2 linked regions of the Macaca fascicularis genome follow. The protein of the gene in region 1 binds, or shares a complex with, the protein of each later gene. Links are inferred from orthologs where the notes say so. Each region holds a gene or a part of one and is shown on either strand. Other genes may lie near its edges.

The links. Proteins that work in one complex are often made in the same cells at the same time.
Region 2: the proteins of BBS4 (region 1) and BBIP1 are in contact, whole or in part, in a cryo-EM structure (PDB 6VBV), measured with the Bos taurus proteins. The link is inferred for Macaca fascicularis from reciprocal best matches to the Homo sapiens genes BBS4 and BBIP1. Residues at the interface, in NP_001069424.1 of Bos taurus: Leu210, Leu213, Tyr236, Leu240, Ala241, Ser244, Gln247, Thr248, Ser269, Pro271, Asn274, Asn275, Met278, Phe281, Gly282, Lys284, Tyr298, Leu299, Pro301, Leu302, Asp303, Trp304, Lys305, Ile306, Tyr308, Asn309, Leu312, Leu315, Thr316, Gln318; in XP_003587939.1 of Bos taurus: Met7, Phe8, Arg9, Glu10, Val11, Leu12, Pro13, Lys14, Gln15, Gly16, Gln17, Leu18, Tyr19, Val20, Glu21, Asp22, Leu28, Lys30, Pro31.

What each region holds. Positions count from the first base shown.
Region 1 is NC_088381.1:49,571,277-49,576,091, forward strand, and holds the start of BBS4 (BBSome complex member BBS4), read left to right. Parts: upstream 1-1,908; 5' UTR 1,909-2,136; coding exon 2,137-2,262; intron 2,263-2,700; exon of another isoform or gene 2,701-2,721; coding exon of another isoform or gene 2,722-2,745; exon of another isoform or gene 2,746-3,008; coding exon of another isoform or gene 3,009-3,056; intron 3,057-4,815.
Region 2 is NC_088383.1:120,004,674-120,009,508, reverse strand, and holds the start of BBIP1 (BBSome-interacting protein 1), read left to right. Parts: upstream 1-1,769; 5' UTR 1,770-2,126; intron 2,127-2,285; exon of another isoform or gene 2,286-2,446; intron 2,447-2,768; 5' UTR 2,769-2,824; coding exon 2,825-2,861; intron 2,862-3,008; exon of another isoform or gene 3,009-3,179; intron 3,180-3,258; exon of another isoform or gene 3,259-3,451; intron 3,452-4,020; exon of another isoform or gene 4,021-4,084; intron 4,085-4,835. Other genes in the region: uncharacterized protein, read right to left, coding at 334-372, 813-1,207, 1,301-1,324.

The DNA of each region.
Region 1 (4,815 bases):
CACTGGGGATTAGAAATGAATATTTATTTATTTATTTATTTATTTAGAGACAGAGTCTTGCTCTGTCTCCCAGGCTGGAGTGCAGTGTCAAGATCTCGGCTCACTTAGGCAAAGTGTTTAATCTCTGAAAAGTGGAGAATTTAGCACCAGGCATGGTGACTGGTGCCTGTAATCCTACCTACTTGAGAGGATGAGATGGAAGTGTTAAAGGTGGAGAGTGTCCAGATTATTGGTGTCTTGAAAAAAGAGTTGGACAAAATGCACAAACAAAGCAAGGAAGGGACAAAGGAATTTATTAAACATGAAAGTACTAGGCCGGGCGCGGTGGCTCAAGCCTGTAATCCCAGTACTTTGGGAGGCCGAGGCGGGTGGATCACGAAGTCAGGAGATTGAGACCATCCTGGCTAACATGGTGAAACCCCGTCTCTACTAAAAATACAAAAAACTAGCCGGGCGTGGTGGGGGGCGCCTGTAGTCCCAGCTACTCCGAGGCTGAGGCAGGAGAATGGCGTAAACCCGGGAGGCGGAGCTTGCAGTGAGCCGAGATCGGGCCACTGCACTCCAGCCTGGGTGACACAGCGAGACTCCGTCTCAAAAAAAAAAAAAAAAAAAAAAAAAAAAAGAAAGTACACTCCACAGTGTGGCAGTGGGCCTGAGCTTGGAAGTTCAAGGGCTCTGTTACAGAATTTTGGGGAGTTTAAATACCCCCAGAGGATTCCACGGTTACTTCGGGTATGCCTTATGTTAATGGAGATGAAGCAAAGTTACAAAGACATTTACGACCAATGCCCTATGGACACAATATTTCCTGTAACAGCTGAAGTGTGAATCAGCCTTATGTTCCCTGCCTCCAGACCCTATTTTTCTGCCTCAGGAGGATTGCTTGAGCCTAGGAGTTCAAGTCCAGTCTGGACATCATAGTGAGAACCCTGTCTCTGAAAAAAAATTTTTGAGACAGAGTTTTTCTCTTGTTGCCCAGGCTGGAGTACAATGGCACGATCTCGGCTCACCGCAACCTCTGCCTCTTGGATTCAAGCACTTCTCCTGCCTCAGCCTCCCGAGTAGCTGGGATTACAGGAGCCAGCCACCACGCCTGGCTAATTTTTTGTATTTTTAGTACAGACGGGGTTACACCATGTTGGCCAGGCTGGTCTCGAACTCCTGACCTCAGGTGATGTGCTCACCTCAGCCTTCCAAAGTCCTGGGATTACAGGCGTGAGCCACTGAGCCCAGCAATTTATTTTTCTTATTTTTATTTTTTTTTAGACGTAGTCTCCTTCTATAGCTCAGGCTGGAGAGCTGTAGTGCGATCTCGGCTCACTGCAACCTCTGCCTCCTGGGTTCAAGTGATTCTCCTGACTCAGCCTCCTCCCGAGTAGCTGTGATTACAGGTGCCCACTACCATGCCCGACTAATTTTTTGTATTTTTAGTAGAGACGGGGTTTCGCCATGCTGGCCAAACTGCAAAAAAAATTTTTTAAATAAATGAAAAGCAGAGTATTTATCTGAAAAAAGTGGGAGACTAAGAGTCTCATGGGATTGTTATAAAGATTAAGAGAGTGTTACTGAAATACTTAGAAGAGCTGTCATTTTATTGCTGTCTTTCCCCCTTGTGTTTGGATAGATTACCGTACTTGTTTCTTCTACGTAACTGTAATTATTAGTCAGTGGGGCTCTCCTTCTCTTAAAGGCCTGGAGAAACTTGTCTTAAATGCTTTCCCAATTCACGAATTGGGAGACGCAGATTTTATGTCTACATTACAAGGGCGATACTTAAAAGTATGAATTGGGACTAAAGTCAGTGCTCAGGTGCAGCGATCCTCTGTTTTGTTCATCACACAGCTCCCGGCACTTTAATAAATGAGGCTCAAAGAAACGACGGGCTTAGGTCATGCAGTAATCAAATCCAGAACTCATGTTTGATTCCAAAGCCCACACGTTTTCCTGGTTTAGAAACACTAAACATTTAATTCACCGCACCTGGGGCCAGACAGGCACTGGAAAACGCCTGAAGTATGCTAGGAAGGGAAGACTGTGGTAAAAAGGCCAAGAAATGTTTATCTACAGTCGCAGCCGCCATTCAGATCGATTTCACTGCCTTGCAGAAACGCAGGCCGACTGTCGTCTCTTTATCCCATGGCCGATTTCTTGCGAAATCTCCTAACTTTTAAGTATTTCCGATCAAAAGACTGCTGCTCAAACGGAGCCCACCGGGAGCGTGTTTGCAAATTCTGGAGTAAACAAGAGTGGGAAGCTGATAAGGTGAGTACCTCAATTCCATAGGGATAGCCAAGAAACGGGGAGTTTCGTACCAAAGGCAAGAATGAGATTCTCCGCCCTAGGGTCCCGGAAGGAGGACTGAATTAAATGCAGATTAGAGTCAGGGCACGGCCAGGTGGCGGGGGAAACAGGCTGACATCCCAGGTGGCTGGCCTATCCAGCCAGCGCTGCCGGAGGTACACACCATGTACAGACCACGACAAGAGGGGTTAGGGGCTTCTCGGGATAAAGGCAGCGAGTGGCTGCGCATTCCCTCCCCTACTCTTTCAGCGGTAAGCCTTCTGTGGAGCAGACCCTAACTCTCCCCCGATTCCTTAGGTCACTCGGCTATTTACTTCCTTCCCCTGCTCCTCAGCGTCCTCCACAGTCCTACAACTTCCGCTTGCCTCGTTGTCTGGGAAACCGCCGACTTCCGGTCGCGCAGTGGTGGGCTGAGCCAAGATGGCTGAGGAGAGAGTTGCGACGGTGAGCGCCGAGATTCTCTTTAGTTGCCCGGCCAGGGCAAGGCAGGCTGGCGGGTGGCCTCTGTCCCATGCAGCGGTTCCTGGAGAGAGGCGGAGCTGGGTGCCGAGCGGCTCGGGGTGGGCGGGGCGACACGGTTCCCTTCCTACTGTCCCGGGAACTGGTCGCCTGGGGCAAGTCTGGATACTTAGCAGCACAGGTCCTGTTCTAGGACTGTGGTCCCTCTTGGCGTGCCCTGGACGGAGAAGGGAGACTTCTTACCTGTAATGGCTCTTACCCTAGTCCCATCTTTTTTTTCTCTCGGGGTTTGGAAGGTAATAACTAGCAGTTGTGTAGACAGTTTCTGTTAATCCCGTGAATTGGGAATTTAACATGAACGACAGCCTGGAAGCTTGCAGCGTCACTGCCTCCTGCCAGTGGAGCAGGGCTATGTTTTTTCTGTGGTGATTAAGTTTAGGAAAGTACGGTTTTGGAATTCAGCTGAAGGCTGAGTTGGGCGTTAACTCCACAGAACTGCTAATAGAGAGGAACCCGATGAATTCAGGATGAGCTAGTCGCTGTTTTTTTGAGGCATATATCCATAATTGGATCTAATTTCGGTGAAGTGCCAAGTATGAAGATTTGTTTACCTTGCTTTAGTGTTGGGTTTGAAAGCCTGTTCTGTGCATTTGTTAGAATGATTTTAGGTATTCGGAATTTATTGTCTGTCGAAAAACCCCTTGGAAAACAGTACGATAGCAGCCTTTGACTGTTTTACAACTTAGTTTTGGCTAAGCAGCAAGGTTAGTGTTATTGCTAGAGGGCCTTTTGTTTGTTTTCTACTCTCATTTGCAGAGTTGTCATATTATTCTAGTCTAATTAGAAAACTCTGAAGACAAACTTTTTTTTTTTTTGAGACGGAGTGTCGCTGTTGTGGTCCCGGGCTGGAGTGCAATGGCGCTATCTCGGCTCACTGCAACCTCCGCCTCCCGATTAGCTGAGAATACAGGCGCCTGCCACCACGCTCGGCCGAAACATTTTTATTAAGCTAAGAAATTTAAAATAACTGGGCCGGACGCGGTGCATCACGCCTGTAATCCCAGGTACCCGGAAGGCTGAGGCAGGAGGATCACTTTAACCCCGGAGGCGGAGGTTGCAGTGAGCCGAGACCACGCCACTGCACTCTAGCCTGGGCGACACAGACAGACTTCGTCCCCCCCCACCCCAAAAAACCCAAAGATTTTAAAATAATTAAATAGACCAGGCGTGGTGGCTCATGCCTGCAATTCCAGCACCTTGGGAGGCTGAGGTGGGTGGATCGCCTGAGGTCAGGAGTTGGAGACCCGCCTGGGCAACGTAGTGAAACCCCGTCTCTACTAAAAAAATACAAAAAATTAGCTGGAAATGGTGGCAGGCGCTCGTAATCCCAGCTGGTAGGGAGGCTGAGGCAGGAGAATCGCTTGAACCCAGGGGGCAGAGGTTGCAGTGAGCCGAGATCGTGCCATTTCACTGCAGCCTGGGCAACAAGAGCGAGACTCCGTCTGAAAAAAAATAAAAAATAGCATGGTTAATGTTACTGGGTTTTAAATATTAAAAACATAGGAAAGAAAATACTTCTCCACAATCTTAAAGTGTAAAAGATAACGGGTAACATAACATTGCTACAAGTACAGCTTATCCTTTAGTGCTCATCACAGGTGTTTGTGTAACAGAATATGAACTTGAGTCTGTGAGGGCAGAATTGTCCTGTACATTTGAATGTCTAATACTGTTTTAAAGAGAATAGTTTTTGTTTTGATGTGACTTTAGCAATTAAGCCTGAAGTTAACTATTTTCATTGTTGTCAGATTTATTGCTAGTGTTATGTTTATAGTAATTTTCATCTTTTCAAGTTAGCAATGCATGGAAATTTGAATTTCTGCCCTTTTTGGAAAAGTGGTCTTTTATTTATATTTTTATTTATTTATTTTTTTTGGAGACGGAGTCTCAATCTGTCGCCCTGGCTGGAGTGCAGTCGTGGGATCTCGGCTCAGTGGAACTTCCGCCTCCGGGGTTCAAGCGATTTTTCTGCCTCAGCCTCCCGAGTAGCTGGGA
Region 2 (4,835 bases), on another chromosome or scaffold:
TAGTAGTCCCTCTTGACTAGAAACTAGACGCACTCGGTATCGACGAAAAGTATACGAAATGACACAGGTGTAAGCCTAGACACTGCTGGTAGTTACCACGCTGGAGGCAAATACTATACAGTCCACATTTGCAACCTAATTTTGCTTCAGCATCCCCAGAGACTTCGAAAATATTTCTTTGGGTAGGTTGCAAAACAGTGCTTCCTCTTTTATTCTCATCACCCCCATTACGATACAAAGCAACAGACAAGAAAATTAAACAGCCAACTATAAGGGCTTAAACACACACACAAAGCATCTTCTTTCTAGCTCCCGAATCGGTAGTTATCCCACCTGTTTGTAAATCCATAATTCCACAATAACACAAACTGCCTGCTGAAAGAAAGGAGGGAAGAAGAGAAAAACAAAGAAAGAGGAAAAAGAAAGAAAAGAAATAAAGAGAAAGAAAGGCAAATTAATGCTTTGGAGTCATTACTCTTCCACCTAGGCATGGGGGGAGGGGGATGGTACAAAAACAATGGATATTGAGGGGCTGGGGGAAAAAATCGTCTTGCCCCGAAGCCTCTTGTGTTATAAGCCTGGGGGAGTCGGGGGAGAGTGAGACTACTTTTCCTCTCTCCCTAAAAGCTGTGCTATCACGGGGAGAGGTTGCCATCCGGCATGTTCTACGAGGCGGTCTCGAAGGGCTACAACTCGCTTCGCCAGGCAACACACCCAGAGCCGATCCAGCACTCTTCACTCAAAGGGTTTTCAGGGAGAGGAGAACGGGAAAGCAAGGTGGGCTCTAGGGAGGGGGCGCGAAGAGACCCCACCCTGTATGACCGCCGCTGCGCCCGGGCCCTCGCCAACGATTTACACGACTTGGGCGCCCTGCGGACTGGGCCCGGGGCCCCCGGGAACCGAGAAGAGCGAGACTGTCCGCCGGGCGCCCCCGGCCCGCGCCCTCGCGCCGGCTCGCCCTCGCCCAGGCGCTGTCCTGGCCGCCCGCCGCCGCCGCAGGCCCGGCCCCGGCCGCTGTCAGACCCGACCGCCTTCCTCTCCGCGCCGAGCTGCGGGCTCCCACGCGAGCAGGCTCCGAGGGCCCCGCACTCCCGGAGACAGCACCCAGGAAAGCGGCGGCGGCGGCGGCGCCTCCCAGGGCCCCGGCCCCTCGGGCCTCGCCCCGGCGTTGCCGGCTCGCGCCTGTCAGGGCGCGCGGGGCCTCCCCCTACCGACAGCCAGCCCGACAGCCCGACGGACAGGAAGGCAGGCAGGAAGAACCGACCAACAGACACCCTCCGCCTCATCGGCCCCGGGTTACCGTCAGGAGCCCCGACTCCGCCATCCTCCTCGCTCGCCCTGCTTCCTCCTCTTCCTCCTCCTCCTCCTAAGAAGCGACGCTGCCCAACCGCCGCCCCCCGCCCGCCCCTCCCCCACTCGCCCCGCCCCACCCGCCCCTCCACTACTCTCGCTCCAGCCTCCCCGCCCCACCCCTCCGGCGTGGGCCCGTCACTCGCTAGGCAAGAAAAATGGGCGGAGCCGGGGCAAGCGAAGCTGCCCAATCAGAGAAGGGCAGTGGCGCCTGCTTCTCTCTCTCTCCGCCCTTTTCCTTTCCTCAGTTCCTCTACGCCGTCTCCCGCCCACTGGGCGCCGCTGGCTAGCCGGGCTACAGAGTAAGCCTCCTGCAGGGTAGAGTGACAACTCTCCGATCGGAAGTTACTGTTGAAGCTAAGGCGGCCATAACTGATAATGGCAACAGGAGTTTCCTGGCTTCCTGTTTCCAGGGTGACGTAGATTTTTTTCCTTCGCCAGTCTCACCGTTACCCGGGGCAACAGCTGAGCAGTCTGGGAAGGGATGCATCTGTAAGTAAGCCCAAAGAGGTACCGTGGGTGACCAGACATCCCATGTTAGACAAGTTAATTCATACTCTGGACTACACGTCCAGTTTCCCGGCCCTTATTTTACTGAGACATCTGGTCACATACGTAGATGGACTATAGTTTAGGGCTCCGAAAATCCCTCTCCTGCCCGGAAGTTGCATTTGGCACTTCCGAATAGGGTCATGGCGGAAGGGGGTAAGGGGGTAAATAGCCTCGCCGCCCGTGCCCTAGGGAATGCCCATTCTTGACCTCAGTTGCAAAGTGAGGTGAGTCCCTGGGCCCCAACAAGTGGGCCGGACCCGAGCCGGACGGTCCCTGTGGGACGGAGCGCTGAAATGGAGAGCGGGGCTCAGGGCCCCTTCCGTTAGAAGCTGCTTTTCTTTCCGGGCTGGCCTAGCGGCGGCCCGCCCTCCCTCCGCCCCCCTGAGGCTCCCTGTGGGGTGAGGCAGCGCTACAGGCCGCCCTAGCCCAGCCAGAGCCAGGCTGGCTGGGAGGGCCCCAGCGGGGAATGGGCGCGGACCTCGGGCGGAGCTCCTAACTCCGGCAAAATGGAGCTCCTGACCACGCCTCCGCAAGTTCCTATTAAGTACTTTCACTCTCTGGCCTTTAGAGGGAAGAGAATTCGGGAACTTGAGAAAATAATTTTCCACCTTCAGCTATAAAAGAAAAAGATGAGCCCCTACAATCAGGGCAAGACCTCTATCTTTTTCCCCTGCCACCTGCCTTCTCATTCTGAGTTTTCCCCCCTTTCCGCGTTTGTCCTTTGTAAGCTTTGACTGCGGTTCTTGTGGTGGGATATACTATCCTAATCCTGCAGGTCTACAGATTCTTAACGTGTTGAATATTTTTGAAAATGCTGTATTGCTTTAATATGGCCCTTTACAAAGTTATCATACATTATCTTGTAGTTTCTTCTGTATGCTTGAGTCAAGAACTCTCAGTCATCTTGGTAATACCGGGTTGGATGCTTAAAGCTGCAGCAAAAAGACCAGAACTTTCAGGTAAAATTGAAAATTGTTAATATCCAGCCAGTCAACAAAACCTACCTTCTCGACTTAATTTCTACTTCCCTGGTACTTACACGCCAGCCAAAATGAACTACTCTTGTTTCTTGGCGGTTAATTACTGAAATCTGTTGTAGCACTCACCTTTTGTGATTCTGTCTGATTCTGTTATTCGCGGAGATGTGTTTCCAGATTCTCCCCAGCAGAAAGTAATTCCTCTGAGTTTAGCATTTTTTGCACGTCTTTTATGACAATCAGTATGTTATATATATATAATAGCCGCTTATGTTTTTAACTTCACTACCATGTCTGCACCTAAATAGAATGGTTTGTATCAGATTCGTCTTCCTGTCATTTTCACCCTGCACATGATATTATTTTGGTAAATACTTACTGAAAGTTTGAATATCTCGGGTGTCTCTTGGATGCCCAAGACAGTTCCAGCCAAGTTTTAGAGATCTTCAATTTATCAGAAATTCAACTGAGCGCCTGCTACTCAGCCTTTTTTGACGTTTCCCCTGTGAAGTCTTTCTGACATGATTTTTTTCCCCAATGTTTTATTATGAAAGTGTTCATATATTTAAAAGCTGAAAGAATTAAATAATTTAATGAATATTCATATACCCGTCATCTAGATGCAGCAGTTAACATTTTGCCATATTTTTTTCATTCCTCCTCATTTTTTCATTGTTGTAAAAAGTTGCAGACACTTATTGTTAGGCAGACACCCTTAAGACTTTGAGCATGAATTTCCTGAGAATTTTGAAGTTCTCTAGCAAAACACAATATCATTATTACAGCTGTTTTGTAATGTTTAAAATCTAGCCCAAGTGCTAATTTTCCTAATTTACCCAGGAATATCCTTTATACCTTCTCCTTCCCATTCTTGCAAAAAAAAGAAATCAGGATCCAGTCAAAATTTTTCTTCAGCTTTAATGTAGTGGAGTTCCCCCATCTTTTTCCCCCTGTGATATTGGCATTTTGAAGAGTTCAAGCCAGGAGTCTTTTTGGAAATGGGCCCCCCTTTTTTCTTCTTGTAAACCAGAAATTAGTCTAGAGGCTTAAGTTGAACATTTTTTTTTTTTGCAAGGATATGTCACAGTGTTCATACTTTTCCAGTCATGACTAAGCCTTCTCAAACGCCAAGTATACGCACCTTTTCCATGATTTGCTGGTTAAATCCATCTCACTTCTCAGCCTGCTTACCCCTCTCCGGTGTCCTACAAAGAGGAGGGTAGCATTTAATCATGTGTGTATAGAGTATGTGTTAGTGCCTTGGGTTGGCAACATAGACTGACTACCTTTAATAAAGTGTTGCTGCTACTTTGCCTATTCTTGGAGCTGATGCAATGTATTTCTGCAGTAAAGTGTACTGATGTCAGCATAGTTTATGAGTTTCAACTCCTGGCACCCTGCAGACATTGTTGGAAGATGTGTGGGCCCTGCTATTCAAATACAGATGAATCTTGATGTTATCAAAGCAAATACCAAGGCAACTGTTGGCCATCTGGTCACATTCCAATTTAGGCATTGTTATTTTTCTCACTGAAATTCTCATGCAAGTCTTAATTGGTCCTGGTGTTTTTGTGATAGCTTTTTGGTAGCATTAAGCAGAGCCTATTAAAAATTACAAAATCAAGATTATACTTAGTACATTAGATACATCCTCTGTCTAATGGATAGATAAGTGTTTGTGGAATTTACTTCATAATCACAAAAGGAAAATTCTCAAGACTGCCAACCTCATATACTCCTAGCCTAGACTTATATTTGATTATGAAAGATAAGTGAAAGGAAAAAACTGCACATAAGGGAGCGGAAGAAAATGCTCTGGGAGGACAGAATCTCTTAGATTGGTATAGAATGTTTTTAGCCATCATATTGAAAATTACGTAATGCGTTCCATTAGTTGCTTCCTTTGGGTAGAAGGGAATTTGCTTGTGTGGGAATACTCCAGATTTAAGTGAGGCA